2 linked regions of the Ovis aries genome follow. The protein of the gene in region 2 interacts with the protein of the main gene of each other region in a pairwise test. Links are inferred from orthologs where the notes say so. Each region holds a gene or a part of one and is shown on either strand. Other genes may lie near its edges. The genes, in order: RHOJ and PAK1.

Region 1 (9,496 bases), on a different chromosome or scaffold from region 2:
GCAGGGCAAAGGCTAATAGAGTTTTGCCAAGAAAATGCACTGGTCATAGCAAACACCCTCTTCCAACAACACAAGAGAAGACTCTACACAAGAACATCACCAGATGGTCAACACCAAAATCAGATTGATTATATTCTTTGTAGCCAAAAATGGAGAAGCTCTATACAGTCAACAAAAACAAGACCAGGAGCTGACTGTGGCTCAGATCATGAACTCCTTATTGCCAAATTCAGACTCAAATTGAAGAAAATAGGGAAAACCGCTAGACCATTCAGGTATGACCTAAATCAAATCCCTTATGATTATACAGTGGAATTGAGAAATAGATTTAAGGGCCTAGATCTGATAGATAGAGTGCCTGATGAACTATGGACAGAGGTTCATGACACTGTACAGGAGACAGGGATCAAGACCATCCCCATGGAAAAGAAATGCAAAAAAGCAAAATGGCTGTCTGGGGAGGCCTTACAAATAGCTGTGAAAAAAAGAGAGCCGAAAAGCAAAGGAGAAAAGGAAAGATATAAGCATCTGAATGCAGAGTTCCAAAGAATAGCAAGAAGAGATAAGAGAGCCTTCCTCAGCAATCAATGCAAAGAAATAGAGGAAAACAACAGAATGGGAAAGACTAGAGATCTCTTCAAGAAAATCAGAGATACCAAGGGAACATTTCATGCAAGGATGGGCTGGATAAAGGACAGAAATGGTATGGACCTAACAGGAGCAGAAAATATTAAGAAGAGGTGGCAAGAATACATAGAAGAACTATACAAAAAAGATCTTTACGACCCAGATAATCATGATGATGTGATCACTAATCTAGAGCCAGACATCTTGGAAAGTGAAGTCAAGTGGGCCTTAGAAAGCATCACTATGAACAAAGCTAGCGGAGGTGACAGAATTCCAGTTGAGCTGTTTCAAATCCTGAAAGATGATGCTGTCAAAGTGCTGCACTCAATATGTCAGCAAATTTGGAAAGCTCAGCAATGGCCACAGGACTGGAAAAGGTCAGTTTTCATTCCAATCCCAAAGAAAGGCAATGCCAAAGAATGCTCAAACTACCGCACAATTGCACTCACCTCACATGCTAGTAAAGTAATGCTCAAAATACTCCAAGCCAGGCTTCAGCAATACGTGAACCGTGAACTTCCAGATGTTCAAGCTGGTTTTAGAAAAGGCAGAGGAACCAGAGATCAAATTGCCAACATCTGCTGGATCATGGAAAAAGCAAGAGAGTTCCAGAAAAACATCTATTTCTGCTTTATTAACTATGCCAAAGCCTTTGACTGTGTGGATCACAATAAACTGTGGAAAATTCTGAAAGAGATGGGAATACCAGACCACCTAACCTGCCTCTTGAGAAATCTGTATGCAGGTCAGCAAGCAACAGTTAGAACTGGACATGGAACAACAGCCTGGTTCCAAATAGGAAAAGGAGTATGTCAAGGCTGTATATTGTCACCCTGCTTATTTAACTTATATGCAGAGTACATCATGAGAAACGCTGGACTGGAAGAAACACAAGCTGGAATCAAGATTGCCGGGAGAAATATCAATAACCTCAGATATGCAGATGATACCACCCTTATGGCAGAAAGTGAAGAGGAACTCAAAAGCCTCTTGATGAAAGTGAAAAAGGAAAGCGAAAAAGTTGGCTTAAAGCTCAACATTCAGAAAACGAAGATCATGGCATCTGGTTCCACCACTTCATGGGAAATACATGGGGAAACAGTGGAAACAGTATCAGACTTTATTTTGGGGGGCTCCAAGATCACTGCAGATGGTGACTGCAGCCATGAAATTAAAAGACACTTACTCCTTGGAAGAAAAGTTATGATCAACCTAGATAGTATATTCAAAAGCAGAGACATTACTTTGCTGACTAAGGTCTGTCTAGTCAAGGCTATGGTTTTTCCTGTGGTCATGTATGGCTGTGAGAGTTGGACTGTGAAGAAGGCTGAGCGCCGAAGAACTGATGCTTTTGAAATGTGGTGTTGGAGAAGACTCTTGAGAGTCCCTTGGACTGCAAGGAGATCCAACCAGTCCATTCTGAAGGAGATCAACCCTGGGATTTCTTTGGAAGGAATGATGCTAAAGCTGAAGCTCCAGTACCTTGGCCACCTCATGCGAAGAGTTGACTCATTGGAAAAGACTCTGATGCTGGGAGAGATTGGGGGCAGGAGGAGAAGGGGACAACAGAGGATGAGATCGCTGGATGGCATCACGGGCTCAATGGACGTGAGTCTGAGTGAACTCCGGGAGATGGTGATGGACAGGGAGGCCTGGCATGCTGCGATTCATGGGGTCTCAAAGAGTCGGACACGACTGAGCGACTGAAATGAACTGAACTGAACTGAACTGATGGTAACTCTGTGTCAAGCAAGTCTATTGATGTCATTTTTACAACAGCCTTACTTTTTAAATAAGGTCTATACATATTTCTTTGGCCTTTTTTGGGCTTCCCTGGTACCTCAGTCAGTAAAGAAACTGCTGCAGTGCAGGAGACCCAGGTTCAATCCCTGAGTCAGGAAGATCCCCTGGAGAAGGAAATGGCAACCCACTCCAGTATGCTTGCCTGGAAAATCCTATAGACACAGGAGCCTAGAGGGCTACAGTCTACGGGGTCGCAAGAGTCAGACATAACTTAGCGATGAAACCACCACCGCCATGGTAACTCTTTTACATTTTTGAGGAAACTCTATACTGTTTTTCATAGTGACAGCACCAATTTACATTTGCACCAACATTGTACAAAGGTTCCCTTTTCTCCACTTCCTTACCAACACTTGCTGCTTGTAAACTTTTTATGATAGCCATTCTAACAGGTGTGAAGTGATACCTCATTGAAATAGATGTTATTTTAAATTACTGAGCATTGGGAGTTGCTATAGCAATATAATTTGGTAGAAACACAACAACCTAACCAAAACATCATCTCCTTATAGAAAAGAAATATTGGGACACTAAACACTATGGGAAGTGTTACTACAATCCAACACAGAAGAAATATGAGAATATATTGGTTCTACAGTAGCATATGTATGTGGATATATATATTATTGATGCATGAGTAAGTGCACATGTGCTCAGTTGTGTTCGACTTTTGCAACCCCATGGGCTATAGTACACCAGGCTCCCCTGTCCAAGGAATTTTCCAGGCAAGAATACTAGAGTGGTTTGCCATTTCCTACTCCAGGGGATCTTCCTGACCCAAGAATCAAACCACATCTCTTGCATCTCCTGCATTGGCAGGAGAATTCTTTATAGCCACTCATTAAAACAGACTTCTCACCCTACCCCTGGGGAGAAAAAAAAAACCTCCTCAAATCAATTGGATAATCTGAATTCTTAAAATCAATTCTCAAAAATCTCAAAGAAACACACAGTTCCTGCATCAAAAACGTACTTGACCCATTTGTCAGAAACACTTGCAGAGTTCCACTGCTTTTCTAAGATTGAGTACATTAATCACACTCAGTGCTTCAAAGGGGCTTCATTTTGAGTGACCCAACAGACAAATAAATTAGGTGCCAATGGCTCCTTTGTAATTGAAGAGGACCAGGCTGACCAAAGGGAGAAGACTAAATCAAAAATGGAACTGTTCAAGAAAAAGCAGCGTTTGGAGACCTGAAACAAACCAATAAAGCTGTCCCACATACTCTCATTTCCAAAAGTAAGGGTGAGCCAAGACATGTGTGTTTATTCGCTAATAAGAAGATGCAAACATCCCACATCTGATTGATTTCTTATGTGCTACAACCATAAAAATGTTTGTGTCTGGAATACACGTACGAGTGTTGAGCTCAAATGTGGCAGCTTATAAACCTGATCACACATCTTAAACCTACAATCTACAAGAACATTTCCCTTTGAAACAGTGAAACTCTGGAAGGTTTTCTTCTTTATTGCCAGGACAAATTTCTTACGGTTTCTTGTTTAAGTATGTGAAGAACTGTCCAGTTTTAATTTGCAGAGCTTTCAACTGGTGACTCAGTGAGGAATGATGTCATATATTATCCTACAACGGCTGGTGTGGTTCCCCATGTTTCTGTGGCAGACAGGACTCCGGGGTTTTCATCCTTTCGTCAGCCTCTTCCCAGCCAGCCAGAGGCAAACAGGCTCTCCAGCCCTGGATGAAACAGGAAGTCTGACAGCTTGAGTCTGCAGTGGGACCCCTAGTGTTTTCCCACTCCATGTCCTGGCAGCGTTCCCCAGAAGTACAAACACACACACACAGAGCTCCCATTGTTGCAGCCTTCTCCAGCCCACTGATCCTAATATGGAATGCAGCAGGAAACCCATGATTTCCTGACACTCGGCAAGCTGGAGGAAGCAAGGCAAAACTCCATTTAAAAAGCCCAGCTTTCCTCCATGTTAGATGTGAAGTGGAAAACGGGGAAGATTTAGCAAAATTCCACAGTGTCTTCCCTCTGGCTTGGAGAACAGGGGACCAAAGTGAAACCCTCTAGCTGCTGAAATTTCAGGACTCCCAGGAATGCCCTATAATTCGGTGAAGATGAGGATTTCTTAACTTGAACTGATGGGGGAAAGGGACAGATGCTTTTAATCACCCTCCCCAGTGTGCTACCTGTCCTGATCAGTATGGTAAGTGAAAGGGCATGTGCCAGCCACCTCGGACGAGCCTGCAGGGTCCCAGTTACCCAGAGTAAGACAGAGTGATCTCAAGCCTGCCACGGGCTTCATGGGCTTTGGAAGAAGTGGGAGAAGCAACAGCCACAGCACAGTCACAGCAGCTGCAGCCGCGAGCATGAACTGCCAGGAGGGAAATGACAGCAGCTGCGGCTGCGGTGGCCACGAGGAGAAAAAGATGCTCAAGTGTGTGGTGGTGGGGGACGGTGCCGTGGGCAAGACCTGCCTGCTGATGAGCTACGCCAACGACGCCTTCCCCGAGGAGTACGTGCCCACTGTGTTCGATCACTACGCAGGTAAGAAAAGTGGGAAACCCACCCCTGCGTCACAGGTGTGGGAGGTAACATCCCTGCTTCAGAGGGGCCTGGCTTATCTCCACTGCCAGTCCTGGGTGCAGGCCTGGCGCAAGCCAGGTAGCTGGGCGTCACAGCAACCAAGGTCTTTGTGGTTGTTAGAACAACCTGTATATCACTTTTACTGTAACCCTTTTCTCCACTTAAACCAAATGAATAATGCTGGAGAAATACGCAGCATTGCCGTCTAGACTTTGGGGCTAGAAATGTTACTTAATATTTGCCTGAAGATTCATCAACTTTCTTTAATGTGAACATTATAAAATGTACTGTAATTGCATCGCAGTTCTTTTTACCTTTTTATTTTGTATTGGGGTATAGCTGATTAACGATGTGGTGCGTCACAATTCTCTTTTACAAAAAAAAAAAAAACCCACTAGTTACACAACTGGTGAAAGAAGTGTTCTTGCCACTTCTCATATATTCACCCCATGCCATTTATAAATGAAATGCTGAAATTAGTAGTATTAGAACATTCATTTTTCCATAACAATTGGTGCTATCCTGATGTACTTTCATTTTCCTGTGGAAGTAGATTGAAGAAAAAGTATTCAAAGATTTTAAATATCTGTTAGGCAATCTGTATTTTGAATTAAAAGAGGTTTTTAATCAATATGTTTTAAAAGTAAAAATAAAGATTAATATAAAATTTCTTAATTATTTCAACATATGTCCCGAAAGTACAAAATATGGCATAAAATATTTTAAGGTCTGACAGTTAAGATACTGTAGTAACAGCTTAATTCTTTTGGTTATATTGAGTGTTCCAAAGTTTCTCATGTGATCGCTTATCTAATTTTTTCCACTTTGACTCTTATTTTTCTCTTAATCTCTAAAGTAAATCCGATTAAACTTCTTAAAAGCAAATTCACAAAATGTTTCAATTTACAATAGCCCAGATTTTACAACTTTTTGGAATATGATGAACTGCTTGATCACTATAAGATCAGCTTGAGTTACCAGATTTGAGATTTTGTGATAGGGAAATTTCTCTTCTTCACTTTGGCTTTGGGTCCAGAGCAGCAGAGGGGAAATAGCCCACAGGAAACCTGTTTGAGTGCTGGCTTTGCTGTGAGGCTATTTGAAATCCTTTCTATAGGAAGTAGCTTCTTTTCTAGAACTAAACAGTCACCTACGTCTCCTCCTCCTGCTAGATGTACCTGATTTATGACACTATTACATAGCAGTCAGGGAGAAAACCACAGTGAAAATAGCATCCACTCTCTAACAGGTTTTTCTATATTTGTAGAAATTAAGAGCAAATTTGAACACTAATTCCTTTAAGCTTTTCTGAAATTAATGGCTGTGCCCAGAGAAGGGTTTCCCTGGTGGCTCAGACGGTAAAGAATCTGCTTGCACTTGGGAGACTTGAATTTGATCCCTGGATTGGGAAAATCCCCTGGAGAAGGGAATGGCAACCCACTCTAGTATTCTTGCCTGGGAAATCCCATGGACAGACAAGCCTGGTGGGCTACAGTCCATAGGGTCACAAAGAGTCAGACATGACTGAGCAACTAAGCACACACACATACATGCCCAGAGAAGAACCTTTTAATGAGAACAGAAAGAAGAGAAGTACAGACAGACTTTCACCCTGAGGAGAGAAAAAAAAAAATCTAATTGTAAGATTAGGTCTGCAACTTAAGAAAATTAATAGGATCTTGACTGTAAACATCTTAGCAAAGGTTATTTATTCTACATTCTCTTTCTGCCAGGCTAGGGAACTGGCAGATTGTTGTTGTCATCCAGACACTAAGTCTTGTCCAGCTCTTTGTGACCTCTTGGACTGCAGCATGCCAGGCTTCCTTGTCCTTCACTATTTCCTGGAGTTTGCTCAGATTCACGTCCATTGAGTCAGTGATGCCATCCAACCATCTCATCCTCTGTCATCCCCTTCTCCTCCTGCCCTCAGTCTTTCCCAACACCAGGGTCTTTTCCAATGAGTTGGTTCTTGGCATCAGGTGGCCAGAGTATCAGAGCTTCACCTTCAGCATCAGTCCTTCCAATGAATAGCCAGGGTTCTTTCCTTTAGGATTGACTGATTTGATCTCCTTACAGTCCAAAGGACTACCTAATTTCAAAAACTGCTAACAAAAAAAAATAGAACCCACAAGGTTTCGAGTGATTTTAAAAATTGCTTATCCGTGGGATTTCTCTAGTGGTCCAGTGGTTAAGAATCTGCCTTGCAATGAATTGGACTCATTGGTTGGGGAGCTAAGATCCCGCATGCCATGGCCAACTAAGCCCATATGCCACAACCAGAGGGCCCACAAGCTGCACTGAAAGATCCCACATGCTGTAACTAAGAACCAACGCAGCAAAATTAAAATAAGTAAATAAATAATTTTTTAAATTACATATCCCATCTCCAACTTTAGGGCAAACCAATTACAACACAGTGTCAGAAAGAAAAAGGATAAAATTGTCTTTAGAGGTAAAATCAGCCTATAAAAAACATCAGAGAGGAAACAAAGGCTGGACCACCTCTAGATTTCACCAGGAACAAATTATTTTGTTTCAGTTGTATACATACTTGCTGTTATTTGAGCATTAAAGCATCTAGATTTTGGCTATTCCTTGTTTTAGCTCTCAAGATATCACAGCCACTATTACCAAAGCAATACTTTGCTCATAGTTCAGTTCAGTCCAGTCGCTCAGTCGTGTCCGACTCTTTGCAACCCCATGAACCACAGCACGCCAGGCCTCCCTGTCCGTCACCAACTCCCAGAGTTTATCCAAACTCATGTCCATTGAATTGGTGATGCCATCCAACCATCTCATCCTCTGTCATCCCCTTCTCCTCCTGCCCTCAATTTTTCCCAGCATCAGGGTCTTTTCCAATGAGTGAGCTCTTCACATTAGGTGGCCAAAATGTTAGAGTTTCAGCTTCAACATCAGTCCTTCCAAAGAACACCCAGGACAGATCTCCTTTAGGATGGACTGGTTGGGTCTCCTTGCAGTCGAATGGACTCTCAAGAGTCTTTTCCAACACCGTATTTCAAAAGCATCAGTTCTTCGGTGCTCAGCTTTCTTTATAGTCCAACGCTCACATCCATACATGACTATTGGAAAAACAATAGCCTTGACTAGAGGGACCTTTGTTGACAAAGCAATGTCTCTGCTTTTAAATATGCTATCTAGGTTGGTCATAACTTTTCTTCCAAGGAGTAAGCGTCTTTTAATTTCATGGCTGCAGTCACCATCTGCAGTGATTTTGGAGCCCCAAAAAATAAAGTCTGACACTGTTTCCACTGTTTCCCCATGTATTTCCCATGAAGTGATGGGACCAGATACCATGATCTTCATTTTCTGAATGTTGAGCTTTAAGCCAACTTTTTCACTCTCCTCTTTCACTTTCACCAAGAGGCTCTTTAGTTCTTCACTTTCTGCCATAAGGGTGGTGTCATCTGCTATCTGAGGTTATTGATATTTCTCCCAGCAATCTTGATTCCAGCTTGTGCTTCTTCCAGCCCAGCGTTTCTCATGATGTACTCTGCATATAAGTTAAATAACAGGGTGACAATATACAGCTTTGACATACTCCTTTTCCTGTTTGGAACCAGACTGTTGTTCCACGTCCAGTTTTAACTGTTGCTTCCTGACCTGCATACAGATTTCTCAAGAGGCAGGTCAGGTGGGTCTGATATTCCCATCTCTTTCAGAATTTTCCGCAGTTTATTGTGATCCACACAGTCAAAGGCTTTGGCATCATCAGTAAAGCAGAAATAGTTGTTTTTCTGGAACTCTCTTGCTTTTTCCATGATCCAGCAGATGTTGGCAATTTGATCTCTGGTTCCTCTGCCTTTTCTAAAAACAGCTTGAACATCTGGAAGTTCATGGTTCACGTATTGCTGAAGGCTGGTTTGGAGAATTTTGAGCATTACTTTACTAGCATGTGAGAAGAGTGCAATTGTGTGGTAGTTTGAGCATTCTTTGGCATTGCATTTCTGTGGAATGAAAACTGACCTTTTCCAGTCCTGTGACCACTGCTGAGTTTCCAAATTTGCTGACATATTGAGTGCAGCACTTTGACAGCATCATCTTTTAGGATTTGAAACAGCTCAACTGGAATTCCATCACCTCCACTAGCTTTGTTCGTAGTGATGCTTCCTAAGGCCCACTTGACTTAACATTCCAGGATGTCTGGCTCTAGGTGAGTGATCACACCATCATGATTATCTGGGTCGTGAAGATCTTCATATAGTTCTGTACAGTTCTTTTGCTCATAGTAGCCACTCCCAAACATTGTTACTTTTACATTTTGTACATTTTTTAAGTACACAGTATCTCACAAGCTTACACTTTGTACCTTTTTAAAGTACACAATATCTCACATCTTTAAGGGAAATAAAGATGTGAGCCATATACACCTTTGTATATGAAGCCCAATGAAGTGAACATTTTCATCAGTAGAGAGATCTTCTCCACCACAAAGACCCTAACTCTCTTTACCACCATCCTCTTCATGTATGAACTGATTGAACATAAACCCTGAC
Region 2 (8,797 bases):
TCCAGCCTCCTTAGGAAAACAGGTCTTACTTTTCCAGGGAAAAGCCGCTTCTGGATATTGGTTTGTTTTTAATTTAGCCATTGATGTATTCTTAGAAAGTAAAGTATTAAGCTGAGAATATTTCAGTACTGTCCTCTAATTGGTTTGCATCTTTTTCATGTTTTTTAATTGGTGGAAGCCTCTAAATTTTAGCTTTGGGTTATGAACTTCCTAATAGATTTAGTAGTAACCTTTATAGCATCTTTTCTGACCCTCACCTTTTACAGATGGGAAGACAGTAGCCCAGAGGGAATAAGAGATTTGTCTAAAATAATTTTATTGGTCAGAACCAGGCATTTTTATTATTCTTTTCAGTCTCTATATTATTCATTCTGCCTATTGAGTCTGTGTGTTTTCCAAGGTTCTTTTCTTTCTTCTTTCTTTACTGTAGCATTTGCCAATTTCAACTATTACCATAACTTGAAAGACTTGTAAACGTTTATTTCAAGTCCAGCTTCTCTACAGCACTCAAGATTCACACCTGCAGTTGCCTGCTGGACATTTGTCTGCAGATGTTTATGGGAATGTAAAAAGCAGAATACAGCAAACAGTACAAACTACCTCACCAAAATAAGATTATCTTCCTAAATTCACGGCTTCTAGTATCTTTCCATTTGTTTAGTTTCCCAAATGTGACTGTTATTTGTCATTTTCCTGTAGTTTTTTCTTTACAAATTCCTTTCCATTCTTCCTCAGTATTTTTTTTTTGCCTTGGGTTCTTTGTCAAGGTGCTAACGTTCTGTAAACAATTCTAAAATACTTTGGAGGAATTCCTGTACCTAAAACTGTTATAAGCTATGTTATAATACACTGTGGTCAAGTATCTTATAAGAAAAGTATGAGGCAACACCAAATATTAAAAAAAAAAAAGTATGTTTAGTAATGAGACAAGAGACTGGATTTTAGACCTGCCTCTTCCATTTATTTGGAGTAAGTTCTTTTACTCACTGGGGTCTCACTTTTGTTATCATAAAATGAGGAGGTTGGATTAGTGATTTTCTGTAAGTCTTCATAATTATTTGTCCTTTCTCTCTCCTTTTGCCCACATCACTTCAACAGTGCCTGCAAGCTTTGGAGTTTCTGCATTCAAACCAAGTTATTCATAGAGACATCAAGAGTGACAACATCCTGTTGGGAATGGATGGCTCTGTCAAGCTAAGTGAGTAGGAGTGATAATCACTTCTCTTCTCTCTGAGACCCTGTCTCCTCTGGGATGGTAATCCTATGAGAGTAGCTACAAGACTCACCAAAGAATCTATTTCCTTGGATATGCCGGCACTTTATGTTACTCAGCACTATATAGGATGACATTTCCCCCCCACTCATTTATACATTAAATGAAAAACATTTATTGTGATGGGCAACAAGGATACTTTTGCCTATATTTAAGTAGTTCTCAACCTACTATGGGAAACATAAAATACATAATTAGAAAAGAGAGTTTAGTGTAATAACTTTCATTCAGTCATTCATTTAGCAAACTTTTATAAAATGTCTGTTTATGTGGTTGGCCATCTGAGAATGAAAAATGTGAGTAAGAACACACAGTTCTTATTGAAGGCCTCGTAATTAAGTGAACATATAATAGCAATATAATATAACTGCAGGCAGAACATTCTGTTCAGAAGTGTAAGGACCAAGAATCCAGAGAAAGAGATTGTGTCACAGGTGGATGGGCAGCTTATGGGAGGACTGTTTGCAGTCTCTACCCTGGGGCACAAGAGGAGGAACTTATTAAAGCAGGGTCATGCCTCAGTTCAGTTCAGTCGCTCAGTCGTGTCCAACTTATTGCGACCCTATGGACTGCAGCACACCAGGCCTCCCTGTCTATCACCAACTCTGGAACTTGCTCAAACTCATGTCCATCAAGTCAGTGATGCCATCCAACCATCTCATCCTCTGTCGTTTCCTTCTCCTGCCTTCAATCTTTCCCAGCATCAGGGTCTTTTCCAAGGAGTCAGTTCTTCACATCAGGTGGACAAAGTATTGGAGTTTCAGCTTCAGCATCAGTCCTTTCAATGAATATTCAGGACTGATTTCCTTTAGGATGGACTTGTTGGATCTCCTTGTAGTCCAAGGGACTTTCAAGAGTCTTCTCCAACACCATAGTTCAGAAACATCAATTCTTCAGCACTCAGCTTTCTTTATAGTCCAACTCTCACATCCGTACTTGACTGGTGGAAAAACCATAGCTTTGACTAGATGGAACTTTTGTCGGCAAAGTAATGTCTCAGCTTTTATTATAATATGTTATCTAGGTTGGTAATAACTTTTCTTTCAAGGAGCAAGTGTCTTTTAATTTCATGGCTGAAGTTACCATCTGCAGTGATTTTGGAGCCCCCCAAAATATTACTGTTTCCCCATCTATTTGCCATGAAGTGATGGAACCAGATGCCATGATGTTAGTTTTCCGAATGTTGAGTTTTAAGCCAACTTTTTCACTCTCCTCTTTCACTTTCATCAAGAGGCTCTTTAGTTTTTCTTTGCTTTCTGCTATAAGGGTAGTGTCATCTGCGTATCAGAGGTGATTGATATTTGTCCCGGCAATCTTGATTCCAGCTTGTGCTTCATCTAGCCCGGCATTTTGCATGATGTACTCTGCATATAAATTAAATAAATAGAGTGACAATATACAGCCTTGACATATTCCTTTTCCTATTTGGAACCAGTCTGTTCTTCCATGTGCAGTTCTAACTGTTGCATATAGATGTCCAAGAGGTAGGTTCGGTGGTCTAGTATTCCCATCTCTTTCAGAATTTTCCACAGTTTGTTGTGATCCACATACTCAGAGTCTTTGGTGTAGTCAGTAAAGCAGAAGTAGATGTTTTTCTGGAACTCTCTTGCTTTTTCGATGATCTAATGGATGTTGCCAGTTTGATCTCTGATTCCTCTGCCTTTTCTAAAACCAGCTTGAACATCTGGAAGTTCACAGTTCATGCATGTTGAAGCCTGGCTTGGAGAATTTTGAGCATTACTTTACTAGCATATGAGATGAGTGCAACTGTGCATTAGTTTGAACATTCTTTGGCATTGCCTTTCTTTGGGATTGGAATGAAAACTGACCTTTTCCAGTGCCGTGGCCACTGCTGAGTTTTCCTAATATGCGGGCATGTTGAGTGCAGCACTTTCACAGCATCATCTTTCAGGATTTGAAACAGCTCAACTGGAATTCCATCATCTCCACTAACTTTGTTCGTAATGATGCTTCCTAAGGCTCACTTGACTTCACATTCCAGGATGTCTGGCTCTAGGTCAGTGGTCATACCATCATGATTATCTGGGTCATGGAGATCTTTTTTGTATAGTTCTTGTGTATATTCTTGCTACCTCTTCTTAATATCTTCTGCTTCTCTCATTTACTGTGCCCATCTTTGCATGAAACGTTACCTTCGTATATCTAATTTTCTTGAAGAGATCGTTAGTCTTTCCCATTCTGTTGTTTTCCTTTATTTCTTTGCACTGATATCTGAGGAAGGCTTTCTTCTCCTTGTTATTCTTTGGAACTCTTCATTCAAATGGGTATATCTTTGATTTTCTCATTTGCTTTTTACTTCTCTTCTTTTCACAACTATTTGTAAGGCCTTCTCAGGCAGCCATTTTGCCTTTTTGTATTTCTTTTTCTTGGGGATGGTCTTGATTCCTGTCTTCTGTACAATGTCACAAACATCCTTCCATAGTTCTTCAGGCACTCTATCAGATCTAATCCCTTGGGTCTATTTGTCACTTCCACTGTATAATCATAAGGGATTTGATTTAGGTCATACCTGAATGGTCTTGTGGTTTTCCCTACTTTCTTCAATTTAAGTCTGAGTTTGGCAATAAGGAGTTCATGATCTGAGCACAGTCAGCTCCTGGTCTTGTTTTTGCTGACTGTATAGAGCTTCTCCTTCTTTGGCTGCAAAGAATATAATCAATCTGATTTTGGTATTGACCATCTGGTAATGTCCATGTGTAGAGTCTTCTCTTGTGCTGTTGGAAGAGGGTGTTGCTATGACCAGTGAATTCTCTTGGCAAAATTCTATTAGCCTTTGCCCTGCTTCATTCTGTACTCCAAGGCCAAATTTGCCTGTTACTCCAGGTGTTTCTTGACTTCCTACTTTTGCATTCCAGTCCCCTATAATGAAAAGGACATCTTTTTTGGGTGTTAGTTCTAGAAGGTCTTGTAGGTCTTCATAGAACCATTCAACTTCAGCTTCTTCAGCCTTACTGGTTGGGGCATAGGCTTGGATTACCGTGATATTGAATGGTTTGCCTTGGAAACAAACAGAGATCAATCTGTCATTTTTGAGATTGCACCTAAATACTGTATTTCGGAGTCTTTTGTTGACTGTGATGGTGACCCCATTTTTCCTATGGGATTCTTGCCCACAACAATAGATAAAATGGTCATCTGAGTTAAATTCACCCATTCCTGTCCATTTTAGTTTGATGACTACTAAAATGCCTATGTTCACTCTTGCCATCTCCTGTTTGACCACTTCCAATTTGCCTTAATTCATGGACATAACATTCCAGGTTCCTATGTAATAGTGCTGTTTACTGCATCGGACTTTGCTTCTATTACTAGTCACATCCACAGGTGGGTGTTGTTTTTGCTTTGGCTCCGTCTTTTCATTCTTTCTGGAATTGTTTCTCCACTGATCTTCAGTAGCATATGGGACACCTACAGACCTGGGGAGTTCGTCTTTCAGTATCCTATCTTTTTGGCTTTTCATATTGTTCATGGGGTTCTCAAAGCAAGAAGACTCAAGTGGTTTGCCATTCCCTTCTCTAGTGGACCACATTTTTTCATGCCTAGTTGTAGATGATTAGGGTTTCATGCCTGAGAAATTAAATAAGGACCTAGTAACCAGATACTGGTATATGGGGATGGTTTTCAGGAAGAAAGCAGAATTTGGGTAGGTAATAAATGTCAAAATGGGCAGCTTAGCCTTTAATGCTAATGTTTATGGTTTGAGGAGGAGTAGGAAGGCAGAAATGATGTTTCATGTGCCTCCTTAAAGTCTGACCAGGGCACAGCCTAGGAGCTGGATATGAAGGTGGCAGTTATGTGACTCCAGCTTTGGAGAGACAAGGGATGTAGTGGTTAGGACACTGGCAGAGCTTGATACCTTGGGGTAGGCACACAGTATTTACAGAAGAAACACTCTGCATATGAACCGCTTCTGTCTTTTCTTTTTCAGCTGATTTTGGATTTTGTGCTCAGATCACCCCAGAGCAGAGCAAACGCAGCACCATGGTGGGAACACCATACTGGATGGCACCAGAGGTTGTGACCCGGAAAGCCTATGGGCCTAAGGTTGACATTTGGTCCTTGGGCATCATGGCCATTGAAATGATTGAAGGAGAGCCCCCATACCTCAACGAAAACCCTCTGAGAGTGAGTGTTACTAGTCCCATATCAAGATGTTTGGGCTGTTGGATTTCTCTTTTCTGGATCAAACTAGGCAGTGATAAAGTATACATGCTTAAAGAAAATGTAAATTAGCAGTCATTCATTCATATATTCAGTGATTATTTGAGTTCTAATGGGCAAGAAACTGTTGTGATAATAATAAAACAAATTAATATATAGTAACAGAAGATAAGAGCTGTGAAAGAAATAGTAAGGGGCTTAAGAGAGTAAGAGGAGGAAGGACAGAGAAGTATGCTGTTTTATTCTAGGTGGAGAATGAATTCCTCTCTTATAAGTTATCTGAGGAGACATCTGAAGAAAAAAAAGGAATGAAAAAGTAAAAAGAAAACTGAAAAAAGGAATGAGTTTTGAGATTAATCTGAAGTAAGAATTTTCAAGTTATCAAGTGTATAAAGAACTTGTTTAGAGAACATACTTGATACATCCTTGGGAAAACCAAGGAGACTAATGTCCCTGAAGTGAGTGAGCAGAGTGGACAAGGTTCTGACCATGTTAAGTTAAAATGTTTATTAGACATCTTAAATGGAGGTATTGAGTAGAATTGGGCATAAGAGTTCAGAGTTCAAGAGTGAGCATTCAGGACTCGAAATACAAATTTATTAGTAGGTATTATATGGTTGGTTTATTTAAAAATCAGAGGTAGATGATAATGAGATCACACACTTAGGGAAAGAGGTAGTACTGAGACCTGGGATACTCTCATATTTACAAATTAGAGGAACCAGCAAAGTTGATCAATGGGCAGCCTTCCTGGTAGAAGGAGAACTGAGAGATGTGTCCTGGAGGCCAAGAGGACAAGTGTTTTGAGAAGGAGGATGGACCAGTGTGTCAAATGTGACTAAGTTGCATTTAAGCCAATGCGAAGTAATGATCATTAGATTTGCCTGTGTGAAGGTTGTTGATGACTTTGACAGTCAGTTTCACTGGAGTGATGGGAACAAAAGCCTGATTAGAGTAAATCCACCAGAGTGAAGAAATGACATGTATAAGCAGTTACTTTTCATCGTTTTCTTTCAGAGGAATTTTGCAGTTATGCTAACAGAGAAGTGAGTGGAGCCATATCTTGAAGTAGCGACTAGGGGGGTTTTCTTTTTTTGTTTTTTGTTTTGAAGATGATATTATCATAGCATGTTTTTGTGCTGATGAGAATTATCTAGTAGAGAGGAAAATGGTCATGTACAAGAGGGATGTGACGTCTGTAGGAGAGATAGTGATATCGTTAAGTAGATCGGGGGGTTGGATGAAGTACTGAAGTAAAGATCATCAAATTAGAACTTGGACAGTTTGTTATTATAATAGGAGAGGGAAAGCAGTGTAAGTGAATACAGATACAAGTAGGTTGATAATTTTGATCATGGGCAAATGTGAGAGTTATTCTGATTGTTTTTATTTTGTTATTTATTCCAACCTCTCACTCAGTGCAAGAATTCCCAGAGTTTTGTCGCTAATCAACAGTCATGTAGTTTTAGCCAGTTACCTCTTGGATAGCCCTGATTATTGAAAAGTGTTTTAGTGTACCAAACTGAAACTACCTTCCATAGTTTCTTTCCTTGCCTCCCAGTATTGCCCTGTGGATCCACATGCCACTCATCTTCCTCCACCTTAGAGTGGCCTTGAAAATGATGATGATTAGTAGTAACAGAAATGAGACTGGGATCAAAGTCAGAGGACATAAGCTTGTGTAAACAGCACAATCCCAAGCATATCTCTTTATGTTTTAGGACTTTATCTGTGAAATGGGGATGATAATTCTTGCTCTGCCTATTACCCAGAGTTATTGTGGTCATTAAATGAGATAGTGTTTGTGTAAACACTTATGAAATAAAGTTCAGATTGCTTTAAAAGGTTTAGTATGATGTTTTTCTTTATCTTTCCCAGGATATGGCTTCATATTAGAGAACCAAGATGGCAACAGTGAAACAGATTGCTCCTTTACAGACTAGTTCCTTTATATATTCTTTTCCTGCTAGAAGAGATCAGTTTTTAGATGACTGAGATGATGGCACCAGGAATAATAAATTTCCTTCAATAAATGGGCAGGTGTTTAACTCATTAGGCTAAATGTATAGTAAACCATTTAGATTTAAATCAATAATAATAAATCCTTGGATCTGTAACACACTTCATAAGCTTATGAAATGCTTACAATATGTTATCTTGTTTTATTTTACAGACATGTGAGATAGGCACTGTTATCATCCCTGTTTTACAGACGAGGAAGTTAGAAATTCACTGGAAATTTGGCTCTTAAGTCATATTCTCTCCATTATACCAAAGCTGCCTCTTTGTCTTCTGAAGGCAGAAAGCAGCCGACCATATTTCTTCGGGGCCTGTCTGGGAACCAGGAAAGAATCCCAGGTAGAGCCCAGGGCAATTCTGTTTGTATTTCCAGGCCTTGTACCTCATTGCCACAAATGGGACCCCAGAGCTTCAGAACCCAGAGAAGCTGTCAGCTATCTTCCGAGACTTTCTGAACCGCTGTCTTGAGATGGATGTGGAGAAGAGAGGTTCGGCTAAAGAACTGCTGCAGGTAACTGTCCCTATGTAGGGAGGCACCTAATTCAGAGAATCACATAATGAAGGCTTTTTTGCTGCATTTTTGTATGGCTGTTATAGAACTAGGCTTTTCTCCTAGCACGTCCCACACTCCTATTTCCCTCATCTTGTTCATCCCTGGACCTTTGCTGATGTTACTCCCTTGGGCTCTTCCTCAGCCTATTAAAACTCTGTACTTTTCTAGGCTGTATCTTACAGAGTTATTTTCTGAGCTCTTATTGAACTTTGCCTATATCTTCCTTTGGTGCTTGTTATGTTCTGCCTGAATTAGTCTAGCAGAGTTTGAGTCTTGATGAGAAGAAATTTTTTGACATGCAAATCTTATACAAGGTATATTTTACTGGGATAAACTCAAAAGATAGATTTTTAGGAAAGGATATCAGAAGACATTCATTTAGAGGATAGTTAGTGCAACATTTCAAGTCTTCCCAGTTTCTTCATGGAAACCCTTGCAGATGGTGGGAATGATAGTCTGCTTGTTTGTTCATTTATTTCAATTTTTTGGCCATGCCACATGGCATGAGGGACCTTAGTTCCCTGACCAGGGATCAAACCTGTGCCCTCCTGCAGTGGAAGCTTGGAGTCTTAACCATTGGATCACCAGGAAGGTCCCTATAGTCTGCTTGTTTGGAGTGAGATCCTGACAGGCTGTGGGGAACCTGAAGTTGGGGGTTTACCAAGCCTTATATATTCCACCAGCTTAATCCTGAAGTTATAGCATGATTATTTCATATGGTTTCAAAATTTGCTTTTAGTTGACCACATTATCTATATTTAGCATTTATG

The links.
Region 1: the proteins of PAK1 (region 2) and RHOJ interact in binary tests that used the Homo sapiens proteins (3 or more experiments, as listed by UniProt). The link is inferred for Ovis aries from reciprocal best matches to the Homo sapiens genes PAK1 and RHOJ.

What each region holds. Positions count from the first base shown.
Region 1 is NC_056060.1:73,554,195-73,563,690, forward strand, and holds the start of RHOJ (rho-related GTP-binding protein RhoJ), read left to right. Parts: upstream 1-4,348; 5' UTR 4,349-4,699; coding exon 4,700-4,943; intron 4,944-9,496.
Region 2 is NC_056074.1:16,254,475-16,263,271, forward strand, and holds part of PAK1 (serine/threonine-protein kinase PAK 1), read left to right. Parts: intron 1-1,098; coding exon 1,099-1,198; intron 1,199-5,222; coding exon 5,223-5,419; intron 5,420-7,847; coding exon 7,848-7,985; intron 7,986-8,797. UniProt on the Homo sapiens protein: Protein kinase involved in intracellular signaling pathways downstream of integrins and receptor-type kinases that plays an important role in cytoskeleton dynamics, in cell adhesion, migration, proliferation, apoptosis, mitosis, and in vesicle-mediated transport processes.